Linked DNA regions of Caenorhabditis elegans. The protein of the gene in region 1 purifies or fractionates together with the protein of each later gene. This does not show direct contact. Each region holds a gene or a part of one and is shown in the gene's direction. Other genes may lie near its edges.

Region 1 (4,665 bases):
TCTTTGTTGTGTTTCAAAACATCATCCGCATCAACGCTTCTCCATCATTAAACCTAATTTTTTGAAATTACTTGAAGCACTCAAAACTCTCTAAAAATATCTCAATAGAAGAATAAAGCATAAATAAGTGTTGTTTCATTCAATTCTATCTCCTCCTTCTTTACTACAAGAAGAGGACAGATCTATTGTGTATTACTCTCTATCGGTATGTCTGCGTCTCTGTAAACCCTAGTACTATCTAACTGGCTACCTGTCTGACCGCCTGTCAAATGGATTGGATTCAATGTGTAGAGGAAGAGGATTCGGTTAATGTTTTACTCAAACTATCATGTTGTGTTCCCATATTTTTTTGAAATTTTAGTTTTCACTTCCAAAATATTTTAAATGCTCGTTGTATTTGCTTGTACTGTTTGCTGATTTGTTGAGTCATTTTTCTGGCTTTTCCCTGAACTCTTGGATATTTTTGAAACAAATCATAAATATATAAATCTTGAAACATTTCTCGAAATTTTTTAAAGAAATAACTTAACTTGTTTTAAATACATTTTTTTAAACTGTTAAACTGTTCCGGATTTGTTCGAAGTGTAAAAATCTACAATTTTTAATTTTGCAAAACCCTGCAAGTTTCCCCTTTCTAATTATATTTGTTCATACTATTTGCTAATTCCCTAATAGATTCCCTCTAAAATTTCAAATTGTCCGTGACTTCATTCTCTCTAAACAAAAATCTCTGAAAAAAGAAAAAGCGTCGGGTTCGAACAATTGAATTTCCTTTTTTTTCGTTGGGAAAGAGGTATCTCAAGCTGTGTTTATTTTCATGTAAATTGAGTATTTTTCTTTTGAAAAATGGGCAAAAAAATCGAAGTCTCTTGGTGAAACGCCTCGATGGAAAATCGTATAGCTTTTATGGTTTTTTTCTCAATAAACATAGTCTGTCTGTCTTCATAATCTCCTTTTTTCATGTTTAAAAACTAATTCCCACTATTTGAAATTGCTTTACCAAAAGTGCAAAGCCTTCAAAGTCAACTTAAATTATTTTCAGCTAGCAAATTGAAAAGTTCAACGTTTTATTTAATATTCTAGTAGATTATACATAGTTCAATTATGTTCTACCTACTTTTTATTTTTCTCTTGACATGCCTGCCTACTCACCAATCACCCATTTTTGCATTTTTTACTTTGGTGTTTGGTGTTTGCCTTTTCAATTCATTTGATAGTTCTTTTTTAAGTTTGAAAAAAAAACTTTTTGGCAGTAGGCATAGGTATAAATACCTCAAAAATCAGGTAAGAATTTTTTACCTACAGAATACCTGCCTACAAGACACGCTTCCCTTACCTACTTTATCGCAATTTTAATATCAAATTTTAGGTAAATGAAAAATTTAATATTTTCCCACCCCTATCCTTTTTGCTAGTTTCTATGTTTTCCTTCTATTTCTCATATATTTTCTCAACTCTAATCTCTATTCTAGAGAAATAACATATTTTCAGTCCTCACTAATTTTTTTTCACACTTTTTCTCCCTCTCTTTCTCTCTCTAAAACCTCTCCTTGACATTTTTCTGTGCTGTTAACTAATCAGAACGGATTTAGTATTTTTTTTTTTCGTTAATTGTTTTCTCAATTCTTACGCTGTTGTAATTCCAGACAAAAAATGGCAAAGAAACCCAAGAATTCGCCTGAAAAATCAAAATATTCTTCTGATACTTCTTCCTCATTATATTCGCAAACTTGGCTTGCTTCCGTTGTAATTATAGGTGAGTGAACAATGTTTTATTCAAACTAAAAACATGAAACAGGAAATTAAATTCAAAATACACGTAACAATAGAATGAGAGGAAGAGGGAACAAATATGCATTCAAAGTGGCAAGAGTTTGAGATTTTAAAGCTGGAGCAGCGTCAGTGGGGGATTTTTTTTTAATATTCATAAAAGTTTACGTGGCAAAATATCATAATAAACTTTTTGAAATGTTTAGATTCGGTAAATTGGCATGTCTTTGGAATATTTAGGTTTTCCAACCAAATAATGTACTGTTATGAAACACTTTTTAAAAAACCAATTTCCAAATACCAAAAGTATTGTTCACAAAAGCTGAGAATTCCCAGCTTCCGACAACGAATTTCGAAAAAAATTGGAAAAAAATGTTTCTACGCACCATATGAATAGTCAAAAAAAATATTCCGATGCCACTCCAACTTTAAATGAGACTGAAAACAAATGGAGGAAGAAGTCAAAAAGAGGGTTTTTCTAGAAATCATGATACTGGCCTCGTAGTGGGTCAAAGCAACGAGCAAATGTGTCATTCATTATGTCGAAGAAATGACGAATGTCCTGAAAGTTTAATATAGAAAGCTACAATTAAAAACAATTTAGAACTTTGCACCCATTAGCAGAATATCGAAAAATGCGTAAGAAAATTGACAAGAACTATCTAAAACATTGGTTACCTCTTGCTCTTCATGACTTCTTGACTCTATAACTGCTTTGTAATAATGTTTGAGTGAGCTCAGAACTCCGTTATCTCGAAGGCGTTGAAGAGCTCTAAAAATCTAACGTTTATCTATTCAATATAAATATCTTACTCCTCCTCAATGTCACTTCGCTCATCTAAAATAGCTTGTAGCGCTTTTGGTGGGCGATTTCTGTGCAACCATTCGTCGAGTTCACTGCTTTTCCGATTTTCGCCAAGCTGAAAATTAATTCGTTTTGGGGCTTTTGACATTTTTTAAATATCTAAATTGACTCACTCTTTCCCTAATAATTCCATCAACACTGTCAAACTTGTTCTCATAAGCAGCTAAATCCAAATCAATCCTTTGTTCAAAATTAAGCAATTCCAATGCGTGTCGAACACATTTTGGCTCCATTGCATAACATTCGTTTAATTTTTTCTTTCCATACATCCAAACACTCAGATTTTCCCATAATCTTGCCCAAATTGACATTTTCTCAGTTTCAGAAGATTTTCTGGAAAATAAACATAGTTTTTGATAGACGCTTGATGTTTGAAACCTTTGTGCAAAATACTGCTGAATGGCCATTTGATCAATTAGCGGCAGAAATGGACGTAATTGTTTCAACCAAACTGAACGGATTGCGTTGTATACGGAGGCATTCTAGAAATTTAGTTATAGAAGGAAAATTTGGTATTGTCATATTAAGGTTTTTTTTGAAAATAAAACATTTTAAAGATTAAAGAGAGATGATTTTCCATTGAAATGTCAAACTTACGTGATAACCATTCACCACATCTACAGTAATCTCATCAAAATGTTCCAAATTATCGATTGATTGTACCAAGGATTCATTGATTCTTCCTAAGACATTTTTCTCATTTCGATTCATTTTAACTTTTGAATCGATTACATATTTCAGTTTTTCATAAGTTTTATCTTTTACATAGGCTTTCAAAGTTTCTCTATCCTCTGTTGGTAGATCGAGTACAAATATGAAAAGTGGTAAATATGTCTCCAATAAATTGAATTTTGGTTTGTCACTTTCTTTTTCTTCGGAAGAAGGGTCATACATTGTTTGGTTATTGTTTAATAGTGTCGAATTGTCTTCTGCCTGAAAATTAAAACATAGAATACGGGAAAAGAAAACGAAGATGTGCCGAAAGTAGGCATGCATGCATTTCTGACATGGTAACATTGGCAAAAACCAACCAGAATAACTAGAACATCATCTTTTTCGGGAGGTTCCTTTCCACTTTGTTCCTCATCACTTTGTGCCAAACTCATCATAAATAAGAATAGGAGTAATAAAATTGCAGGCGTTTTCATTTTCCCTTAAAAAAAACTTTAAAAATATGAAAAATAAATAGGAAATCAGTGACATAATAGAAAAACAAGAAAATTCGGATGATGTTTGAAACTTTTGGAGAATCACACGAAAACTGGAAATTGAGAATTGAAGAAAGGACATGCGATGGCAAAAATAATTCAACCGAAATCCAATTATCATCTATTCAAACAAATTTCTGAGCGAAACATCACAAGACTTTTTTGTTCTGGAAGCTTGAAGGGAAAAAAGTGAACGCACGTGACATTAAATGCATCTGGAAATTGGAAGCAAGAGTTTATGCGGAGAGCAGATGAAAAAAAATTGACTTTTGTGAATAGAGCATGTGACTGGGTTTTGAGTAGAATGCGCTTTTAGGATGAATAAAAAGAAATGCAGAGTTTTTATAATTATATTTTGAGAATCTATTGGCTACATACCTGCGCACCTACGTGCCTGCCTACCACCTACTTTTTTAAGTTTAAGAACTTTTGTTAAACTTTTCTTGCAGGTGCACTTGCAAGGATATTGAAAAAAAAACTAGTGTAGGAAAAAGGCAGGCGTTGGACACTATGAAAGAAAACAGTGTTAAAATGTTGTATCTTCATAAGAAATTTTCGAGGAGTCACATTATGAAATTCGGTCTATTGGGATCATTTTGAAGATATTGAAGCAGAAGTCCAAAATTGCTACGCCCCATTTAAGAAATTAAATGATAGGTGCGCAATATAGGCACAAAGCAGATATTTATTTTTACTTGGAAGACTTCAAAAACGATTTTTTAATTGTTTTGAATATACGCTTTAAGATGAAACGGCCCTACCAAAACGAATAAATCAAAGGAACAAAAATAAATGAGATAATTAGTGATATTGACTTGAAAT
Region 2 (4,752 bases), 6.1 Mb from region 1:
AAAACGAAGGGTATTTGCAGAAAAACGGCCAATTTTTCAGAGAAATCTAGCTTTCAGTAATATTGTAGCGCCAGTCGTTGTATTTACGGTAGTCTTTGCGAAGATGATAGTCGGCTGGAAGCTCATTGAGCACTTTAGCTGCTTCTGCCTTGTAGTCACGGAGCTTCACCTCTGAAATTGGGGAAAATTGAATTTGCCGCGAAAAATGGGATTTTAAATGAGTTTTTAGTGAGATTTTCGTGAAATTCAGGTGGGAATGATGCCTAAAACTGAAAAAATTGATTTTTTTGACTTGAAATTCGGATTTTTTCCGCAAAATCTATCAAAATTTAACTTAAAATACAATATTTTTTGGATAGAAATTTGAATTTGTCGCTAAAAAATGTCTGAAATTAAGGTTTAAATAGTGATATTTTGGCTCGAAATTTGAAATTATTCCGAAAAATACAAATTTTACCAGTTTTACAAGGCTTTTTTGACTGAAAAAAGGTGAATTTCGTGACTTTTTAGTTTTAAAAAGCTTTAAAATAGTCAAAAAAGCGAAAAATTTAACAAAAAAGTGGTTTTTTTTTCAGGAAAATATGCAAAAACGTTAGAATTTTTCAAGTTTCAGGAGTTTCTGGGAACTTTTCTGAAAAGTTCATACAAAAATTGAGAGAAAAACAGTGGAAGAATTCAGCTAAAATATTGATTTTTTCGCATTTTTAAATTAATTTTATCGTAAATTCTATAATTTCTGTACCTGGAGCCGCGGTGGCCGAGTCATAGACATGAAGTTTGCTGAAGTATCCAAGCTTTGGACGCGTCAAGTTCAAATTAGCTTCCACGCAGGCATCGAGCTCCTTCTGGTCGTCATGGCACCTGAAAATTGAATATTCTACTGCTTTTTCGCTTTTTTTTTCGGAAAAAAATCACGTTAAAATTTTTTAACGGTTTATTTTCGATGAAATTTCATTTTTGGAAAGCTCACTTTGACATGTAAAGCTTGGCACTGCTCTGATCAACACATTCGGCGAGCTTCTGAGTCTGTGGAAGGCAGGAACGCTTCAAAGATTGAAGAAAATTGACTCCACACGCGGTCAGCGCGGCTCCCTCCTTCAAAACGGCACGTGGATCCTCGGCTTCCTTTCGTCGAAGCATGAACTCCTGCAAAAAATCTCAATTTTATCGAAAATTTGGCAGAAAAACCAACATTTGCCTCCTTTTCGCAATGTTTTGCCATATAGGGAGCGATGGATTTGAGCCATGGAGTTGATAAAGTGATTTCCTGAGGAACAGTGAGCTCCTCGTCACTTGGAAAATGCGTATCCTTGGTTATACTCATCGGAAAATGTACCCTGAAATTGGAAAATTGGAAACCAAGCGGAAACTGTTACAGAGAGGGAATTCGGTGATGAAATTTATTATTTTCGATGAGAAAAATTTGAAATTTGATTTTTAAACAAAAAAAAACAAAAAAAAATCGATTGAAAATAGTTTATTTTGATTTTAAATGATAAAATAAAAAATAAAATTTGTTTTGCGCAACGGCTGTTTGCCCGTAAATCCACACAAGTTTAAAGGCGCATGCCATGTTGGCTCTCTTCCCTGCGAGACCCGCGGCATCTCATGTCGATTTACGGGCTATCGAACTTTGCCCTTTTCTTGCTCCGATTAAAGTTTTCTAAAAAAAAAGCTTATTTAATTGAAGAAATTCAGATTTCATTTCAGATTAAATATTATGAAATTATTGTGTAAATTTCTGCTGTAAATCTGAAAATCTAGCTGAAAAATGGTGGAAGTCGCGCCAGCCGGCACAAAATCGCCGGCGCTCTCCGTTCCAGTTGTCATTTGGGGCCCGAAACCGCCGGAAAACAAGATTTGCGCAATTCGTGTGCTTCCTGATGGCGCAACAATTATCACAGGTTAATATTCATCGAATTTTCTAAACAATAAAACAAAAAATCTGAAATTTCGAAATTTTCAGGCGCTGAAAATGGCCACATTATTATTTGGAAGCTAGCAGAAGGACTTATGCCAAAGCAGCTAATGATTGGACATTCTCAAAAGATTACAGCAATCTCTCAGACAACAAATACACCGACAAATACGTTAGTAACGCAGGATTTGGAAAAAATCGATAATTTCCGAAAAATTCCAGACGTTTTGTCTCAGCTTCAGCCGACGGACGTGTATGCCTCTGGGAGATTCAAGATGGACGGTGCATTGATTCAACATCTTCTATTGCAATTCACAGATATATTTATCCATACGTAGGCGCTGGAAAATCGATTTTTAGCCGAAAAAACCGAGAATTTTTTTGATTTCAGACGTATAAATCGTCCCGTCACACGAGAGCAACTCGTCTTTTCTGTATTGGAGATTATAGTGATATTCAAGTAATGGATCCACAAGATTTGACAGTTGTATTCTCAATTTCTTCAAGAGTTGAACCGGATTGGATAAGCTGTTTTACAATTATTAGTCATCCGGAAAAGGAGGATCAGTTGATTGGAATGACTCTGAGTGGAATGATGAAGGTGTGGAATTAATGGAAAATCGATTAAAAAGCGAAAAAATTAATTTTTTTCAGCCAAAAATCACCGAAAAACATTAAAAAATATCATATTTTCGCGGAAAAATTGCATTTTTAAATGTTTTAATGTGAAAATACAAATTTTCTAGAAAAAATCTTCAATTTTATGTAGAAATGGAAAAAAAAATCGCGATACCCTGATTCAAGCTTATTTTTGAACGAAATTTGGTGGTTTTGAGCAAAAAATTGTAATTTTTGCCCAAAAATTTGGATTTTAAAAGTTTTTTATTAATAATTTCGATTTTTCAAACTTGTAAAACGACAATTTCCGTGAAATTTTCAAATTTTTTTCACTTAAAAATCACAGTTTTTGGAATTTTTTCTCCAGAAAGCCAATTTTCTACTTAATTTGGAAGATTTTTTGTATAGCCTTTAGATTAAAAAAGCTGATTTTAAAGCTATTTTTAAGAAAAAAAAAATTAATTTTTACGACTTTTGACGTTGATTTTGGTGTAAAAATGTATAAATCTATTGAAAAAATGTCATTTTGGACAGTTTTCGAGTGGAAAATTGAATTTTTGAAGCTTAAAAAAAAATTTTTAACTAAAAAAAACACAATTTCCGTGAGAATTTCAAATTTTCAGTTTATAAGCTCTTTTTATGATGCAAAATATCGATTTTAGGCCGTTTCTTATCAATTTTAATGCAAAAATAGTCATTTTCAAGCTCTAAAACCACATTTTTCCAGTTGAAAAGCTCGAAAAATTGAATTTTTATAGCTATTGCAGTTGATTTTTGTGTAAAACATGTATAAATTCGTCCAAAATATGACATTTTAAACGGTTTTTCGAGTAGAAAATAGAATTTTCGAAGCTTTTTTCCCTGTTAAAAGGCAATTTCCGTGACATTTCTAATGTAAATTTTCAATTTTTGACTGAAAAAAGCGAATTTTTGAACAATTCACACAATGTAAAGTGTTCTTAACGCAAAAATCTCGTTTTTAAATAGATTTTTACTTGTAAAATGACAATTACCATAAGATTTTCACATTTAAATTTTCACATTTAAAAATTCTAATTTTTGGTTTAAAAAGCTATTTTTAATGCTAAAACGGAAAAATTTAAATTTTTCCGAGGTAAAAAATTGATTTTAGATAATTTTAGACCAATTTTAACGCGAAAATAGCCATTTTCAAGCTCTAAAACCCCATTTTCCAGGTGTGGACGCTCACAGAACTGGAGAAAAAGGACCCAGCAACATCTCTATATGAAGATGAATCAAAACGACTAGAAATTCAACATATTCGAAGTGTTTCATATATTTGTTCAACAAGAAGAATGCTTTTAATAATTGCATCGACATGTTGGATGATTATTGATATGGATGATCTTTCAACAGTAGTTTTTCATAAAAATGAAATAACTACGAAACGTTGTGTGGCTGGATATCTTACGGATTTGGATAAAGTTACAATTGGATATACTGATGAATCAATTCATGTATTTCAATTGCCTATCGAGTGAGAAAATTCCGGAAATTTTTATTGGAAAATACCGGAAAAATCGAATTTTTCAGCTAAAAACACATGAAAATCAACAAAAAATCACAAAAACGAATAATTTTCTTTGATAAAATTATCAATAATCTAAAGAAATTTGAAATTTTCCTGGAAAAAGCATACAATTTGCGAAATACCCTAATTTTCTAGCGTGTAATCAAAAAAAATTGACAAAAATCGAAAAATTTTTGTTTAAAAAATTAAGTAGTTTTGCACTATTTCGATAGATTTTCGTATATATAATTATTGATTTAAACAACAAAAAATGAAACAAAAAATCCGCTTTTCCACGAAAAACAGATTATTTGCAGAAAAACTATATCTTTTAATGAAAAATTGACAAAAATTGAGCCAAAATATCCAAAACGCACATTCTGACGAATTTTCTCATAGAAATTGCTTATCGAGTGAAAAATCCCGGGAAAAATCGACTTTTTCGGCAAAAATTGAGTTAAAATCGCTTATTTTCAATTAAAAATATGCAAAAAAAATAATTAAAAAAAAGATAATTGATTTTTTTGGAAAAAATAAAAAATAAATAAATAGCTTAAAATCACGAATTTTTGTTGAAAAAATTTGAACATTTCCCACAAATTTGACATATTTTTGCCTAAAAATTCAAGATTTCAACGCTAAAAAGTTGAATTTTCTTGAAAAAATTCTCTTGAAAAATTTTTTT
Region 3 (4,916 bases), on another chromosome or scaffold:
TTCAGGAGATGCGTGATGTGAAGACCTTCTTGAGCGCCCACATTGCCCACTAAATATTCAATTCATTCCAAAAACGATTTTTTTAAAGTTTTTTTCACCAGACACACTTTATTTCTCTCAATTTTCAACAGACACGATAGTTCTGTCCAACCTCCATTCGATTTGTGTAGTCCTTTTCCGGCATTCGTACTTCAAGCTCATACAACGTGTCGTCTGTTTCATTTCGATGAGCCATCATAAACGCACGTCTGTAAATGTGTTCATTATTTCATGTCATAAATTATTTGCAATATATACCGTTCGTTTCTTTGTTGAACCGATCGTTTGATATACTCCAAATCTTCTGGAGTCAATTGATGACGAACATTTGGTCCTGAATGGATTCCAATTCTTATTTCTATTATTAATTTATTATCTCACCATTGATAACTGGCTTTTCATTCTGATCTTTCTTTCTCTTCTTTTCATCAGTATTATCAACTTTTCTTGCCGGTTTTGCTTTTTCTGGTGATTTTTGTTTTTCTCCAATTGTGGGCATTGGGTAGTAAGTAGATGTGGCGAACTGTTTTTGTTGGTAAGTAGGTGCAATAGCTGTATGAGGATCTGATCCCATTCTTTCAATAGGAATTTCAGATGCTTGTCTGAAATATTCAAATAATTATTTTGTTAGTTCGGATGTTTCGATAAGATATTATTCAGATGCAAAATTTTTATTCTGCCCGAAAACTACGGTACTGTACTATAATTTTCTCGCGAAAATCACAAAATATTGCATCCAAATAACATCCAATACGCCTTCAAATTTATGAAAAATTACGGTAGCTTATGAGTAGGTTTTGGCACATGTACATTCGTGTGAACGACTGTGGTTGTTTCATGCTTTTTGACTTCTTGCTTGACTTCTGAAATAAAAAAAAACTTTCATAAGATGCTTTGTTCATTCAACAAAAGCCGTTTACCTTGCTTCTTGATACTTTTCTCTGGAACGTGTGCACTAGTCTTCTGATGAGTTGGCTCCACAGTATCGTTGAGCAAAGTTTTCGAGTAATGCTTCACATTTAGTTCTTCTGATTCAACACTTGTCGATTGACTTGTTGGCTGACTGAATCATAGAATAATTGATAATCTGAATATATTAAAAAGTTAACTCACGTTTCGTCGAAATGTGCAACTCGATTGTGATGAATCGATCGTTCCAATGGATGCTCTTTCTTCAGTATCGCTGATTTGGACTTTGAGTTTTTGTTTTTACTATGACTACAGCCCATTCTTGAATCTTTCTCTCTTATTGCACACGATACGATTTCCTGGTATTTTGTCGGCGGAAGAATATATGAGTAAAATCAGAAATGAATCTTTTTTTATCTAAAGTTTTTTATTCGAAGAAAGAATCTTCGCGAAACATGTTTCTGTCACAGTTTATCTGAACTACAAATCTTAGGTTCACGAACTTACTTACTTGCTTCGTTAATTAAAAAAAAATTATATTCTTTTGCTTTCGTTTGCATGCAATTTCCAAAACTATAACTCCTATTTTCAGATGTCAAGTGCAAAGAAAAAACCAAGTCTCGTGACATGCCCCCAGTGTAATGCTGTTGTTCTTACCAAAGATTCTTTAAGACATCAAGACTTCTGTGGAAAGCCCGTCGTAGAATCTGAAATTGCGTGCGCTCAAAACGGAACGCTACGTGGATTTAATGTGGCAGTGGACAAAGCAGAAGGTTTTTTACCCCCAGACGCTGTTGGATGGGAAAAGGTTCGATTTTTACAAAAAACAACTTTAAAAAATCCGAATATAGCTGTAAAAATTTACATATGTAAGTTTTTCTAAAATTCTAAAAATCACTCTTCAGTTTTTTGAATTTTTTGCTGCAAAAATGAAAAAAAATCGCATATATTCTTTGACCCACTTCATTTTTTCTAGGAACACTCAATTCTAATCAATCAACAAACAATGGAAAGTCTAGGTCTACTTGCTCGGCAACCAGTTCGAATTATTCATTCTTCTGATTCTTTTATTGGAATAGTATGGCCTTGCAAAGAAGTTGCACTTCTCAAAGTATCCATAATATCTTCTAGAATTGCACGGGAACGAATGATCACATTGGAGTCTTGTGGAAGAGTTGAAAAACTCAAAAGTCTGAGTGTCACAGTCAAGACATCCTTGACTTTAAATCCGGCTCTCAGTGGATTCTTAGAAGCATATCTCAGTCACTCGTATCTGCAATACAATTCCAGTGTTGATCTGAAATATTTGGGTCAAAATGTTACAGTAACCCCAGAAGAACCAATCGAGAGCAAGATGAGCGCCATGGGAATAGATGACGACAAGAAAAGAAATTCGAAAGTAGTATCTACAGCTGTTGGCTACAAAATTCAAATTTTGAATGCTTCTGCAGAAGGATCGACTTCAGATGTTCTTCAAACTCTTCCAACTGACTTATCAAATATTGGTGGATGTTTCACCGCCAAACAAGTTCTCGAAGATTATGTTATCAGTCCAGTTCGTCAAAAAGAGTCACCGTGTTCAGTTTTGATCTGGGGACTTCCTGGAAGTGGAAAGACACTTCTTTTGAAAGAAGTTGCGTTAGTTCTTTCTGGATCAACAACCTACATTGGTAGCTGTGAAGAATTGATGGAATTGAATGGAGTAACAACTGGAAACATTGTAATTGTAGATGTTAATGAACTAGAAAAAGAAAATACGAAAGCAAATCGAGCATTGAGCTTTTTGTTGGGCGACGAAAAGGTAAGAACAATGATTTTTTATATTATTGTAGGGACACAGAAAAATGCCCATTTTGAAATCGTGTGCGCTGTACGGACAATTTAAATGTGTTTTTCTGAGTCCCTATAATAGATAGATTTCCTTTTTCTAACTTTACAATTCAATATTTTACAGAAATGCGTGATTCTTTGTGTTCGATCTTCCGAAACTCTTGACATTGGATTCCGTGTGAGATTCCCGATTGAAGCAGAAATCACTGTTCCAACACAAGACGAGAGACTCGACATTCTTTCGAAAATTGGCAACATCTACAATTTCCCATTGGAACTTCATCTTGATGTTGCTCGGCACACTCATGGATTCACTGGCGGAGATTTATGCTCATTACTGAAAGCGGCGAAATTTGCAAGAGGAAGAACACATTTGGAACGAGTAAATGACGCAAGAAAACGAATCAGACCAACTGGAATTCGTCAATTTATTCTAGAAGTACCTAATGTTTCTTGGAATGATATTGGAGGAAATGAAGAATTAAAGTTAGAAATTCAACAAGCTGTTATTTGGCCTCAAAAACATCCAGAAGCTTTTGAAAGATTTGGAATTGATCCACCAGCTGGAATTCTTCTTTACGGACCACCCGGATGTAGTAAAACTTTAATAGCACGTGCACTGGCTAGTGAAGCAAAAATGAATTTCCTCGCTGTCAAGGGACCGGAGCTTTTCAGTAAATGGGTTGGAGACTCTGAAAAAGCAATTCGAGATTTATTTTCAAGAGCAAGACAAGTTGCTCCAACTATTGTATTCTTTGATGAAATCGATGCAGTTGGTTCTTCAAGAGGTTCGGAAAAAAGTTCTGGAGTTTCGGATCGAGTTTTGGCACAATTGCTCACTGAGTTAGATGGTTTGGAAAAGTCAAGTAGAGTTATATTATTGGCGGCAACTAATCGGCCTGATCAATTGGATAGTGCACTTTTAAGACCTGGTAAGTAGGTTGTCTGTTTAAAAAATATATTTTTTTAACACAAAACTATGAAAAATTGATGTAAATACTGCACGACTGAAAATTTGAAAGTACAGTACTCCTGGTTGTATCTAATAGAAAATTGTCGTGTTGAAACCTACTACTGTAGTTTTGGGGAAAAAATGCCCGTTCGAGTAATAATATTTTTTTTTGTATTTCAGGTCGCCTGGATCGTGCTATTTATGTCGGATTACCATGTGAAGTGACACGAAGAGCCATTCTCGAAATGCGAACTAAAAAAATGAAATTCGATGATACAGTTAGAACAATTGATAAACTAGTGGAAAAAACATCAGGATATTCCGGTGCAGAACTTGTTGCTGTCTGTAGAACTGCTGCAATGTTTGCAATGCGTGAAAGCATTGATGCTACAATCGTGCAATGGACGCATTTTGAACAAGGTAATTAATATTATTAAATTATTCATTAACTAAATATTTTCAGCTCTTGCCGCAGTTGTTTCCCGAACTGAAGCGTATCTTCTTGAAATTTATGACGATTTTAAAGCAGGTCGAGCTTCGAACGCATGAAAATAACTGTTTACCTGATTGTTATTGTTAAATTGATTTGTTCTTGAATTTTGAATTTCTTTGATTGTTGAAAAATGAAACAAATTTTATTTTTGAACAAATTGTGATTCGAAGTTTAGAGCTGCACAAGAATGGAATTCAATTTGATAGGAGAAATTAGCAAAACGTTTTGATTCGTTGGATGAAAGCATATTACAGATAAAGTTTTTGAGAAAAAAAACGACAACAAATTTAAAAGTGAGCAGTAATTAAAGATAAAGTTTGGGATGAAGGGATTTTTTGGGTACACTAGAAAAATGGAATTATGCTTAAACAAGAAAAATTTAAAGTCCCGTCGGAGCAGATGAACTTGTGTGTGGAATTTGGGTAACAGACGAGAAATACAGTACTCTCCGCATTTTCATGAACATCATTAATCCCAATAGGCTGAGTGATGATCATAAATTGCGTTAGAATACAAAATATTTTGTTACACGTACAAAACACGCGAATTGGGTAGGGGAAAGTTAGTAGACATATAATATTTGGAATATGGAAAGTTATGATTGAGGTGAAGCTTACGCGGTTAAATTAACCGGGGGAGATGAGATAAGTTTGAAAATTGGATTCAATCTCAATAGATTAGAAATTAAAATAA

Evidence for each region. Proteins that work in one complex are often made in the same cells at the same time.
Region 2: the proteins of dpy-19 (region 1) and rbc-2 fractionate together in Caenorhabditis elegans (co-fractionation; one large-scale study listed by BioGRID). This does not show direct contact.
Region 3: the proteins of dpy-19 (region 1) and cdc-48.3 fractionate together in Caenorhabditis elegans (co-fractionation; one large-scale study listed by BioGRID). This does not show direct contact.

The regions. Positions count from the first base shown.
Region 1 is NC_003281.10:8,664,464-8,669,128, reverse strand, and holds the start of dpy-19 (C-mannosyltransferase dpy-19), read left to right. Parts: upstream 1-1,646; 5' UTR 1,647-1,653; coding exon 1,654-1,756; intron 1,757-1,763; exon of another isoform or gene 1,764-2,248; coding exon of another isoform or gene 2,249-2,332; intron 2,333-2,448; coding exon of another isoform or gene 2,449-2,542; intron 2,543-2,583; coding exon of another isoform or gene 2,584-2,690; intron 2,691-2,748; coding exon of another isoform or gene 2,749-2,968; intron 2,969-3,013; coding exon of another isoform or gene 3,014-3,117; intron 3,118-3,232; coding exon of another isoform or gene 3,233-3,568; intron 3,569-3,666; coding exon of another isoform or gene 3,667-3,783; exon of another isoform or gene 3,784-3,791; intron 3,792-4,665. Other genes in the region: F22B7.1 (uncharacterized protein), read right to left, coding at 2,249-2,332, 2,449-2,542, 2,584-2,690, 2,749-2,968, 3,014-3,117, 3,233-3,568, 3,667-3,783. UniProt on the Caenorhabditis elegans protein: C-mannosyltransferase that mediates C-mannosylation of tryptophan residues on target proteins such as unc-5 and mig-21. Mediates the attachment of alpha-mannose in C-C linkage to the C2 of the indole ring of tryptophan.
Region 2 is NC_003281.10:2,525,648-2,530,399, reverse strand, and holds the start of rbc-2 (WD_REPEATS_REGION domain-containing protein), read left to right. Parts: upstream 1-1,710; 5' UTR 1,711-1,720; coding exon of another isoform or gene 1,721-1,750; 5' UTR 1,751-1,771; coding exon 1,772-1,904; intron 1,905-1,966; coding exon 1,967-2,090; intron 2,091-2,140; coding exon 2,141-2,252; intron 2,253-2,309; coding exon 2,310-2,519; intron 2,520-3,732; coding exon 3,733-4,034; intron 4,035-4,752. Other genes in the region: ndua-8 (NADH dehydrogenase [ubiquinone] 1 alpha subcomplex subunit 8), read right to left, coding at 47-171, 743-861, 971-1,146, 1,193-1,324.
Region 3 is NC_003279.8:8,032,321-8,037,236, reverse strand, and holds cdc-48.3 (ATPase family protein 2 homolog), read left to right. Parts: upstream 1-1,540; coding exon 1,541-1,756; intron 1,757-1,924; coding exon 1,925-2,749; intron 2,750-2,902; coding exon 2,903-3,710; intron 3,711-3,910; coding exon 3,911-4,150; intron 4,151-4,193; coding exon 4,194-4,279; 3' UTR 4,280-4,374; downstream 4,375-4,916. Other genes in the region: ath-1 (palmitoyl-protein hydrolase), read left to right, coding at 6-53; K04G2.4 (SHSP domain-containing protein), read right to left, coding at 125-248, 298-373, 421-641, 818-902, 960-1,102, 1,153-1,268. UniProt on the Caenorhabditis elegans protein: ATP-dependent chaperone which uses the energy provided by ATP hydrolysis to generate mechanical force to disassemble protein complexes.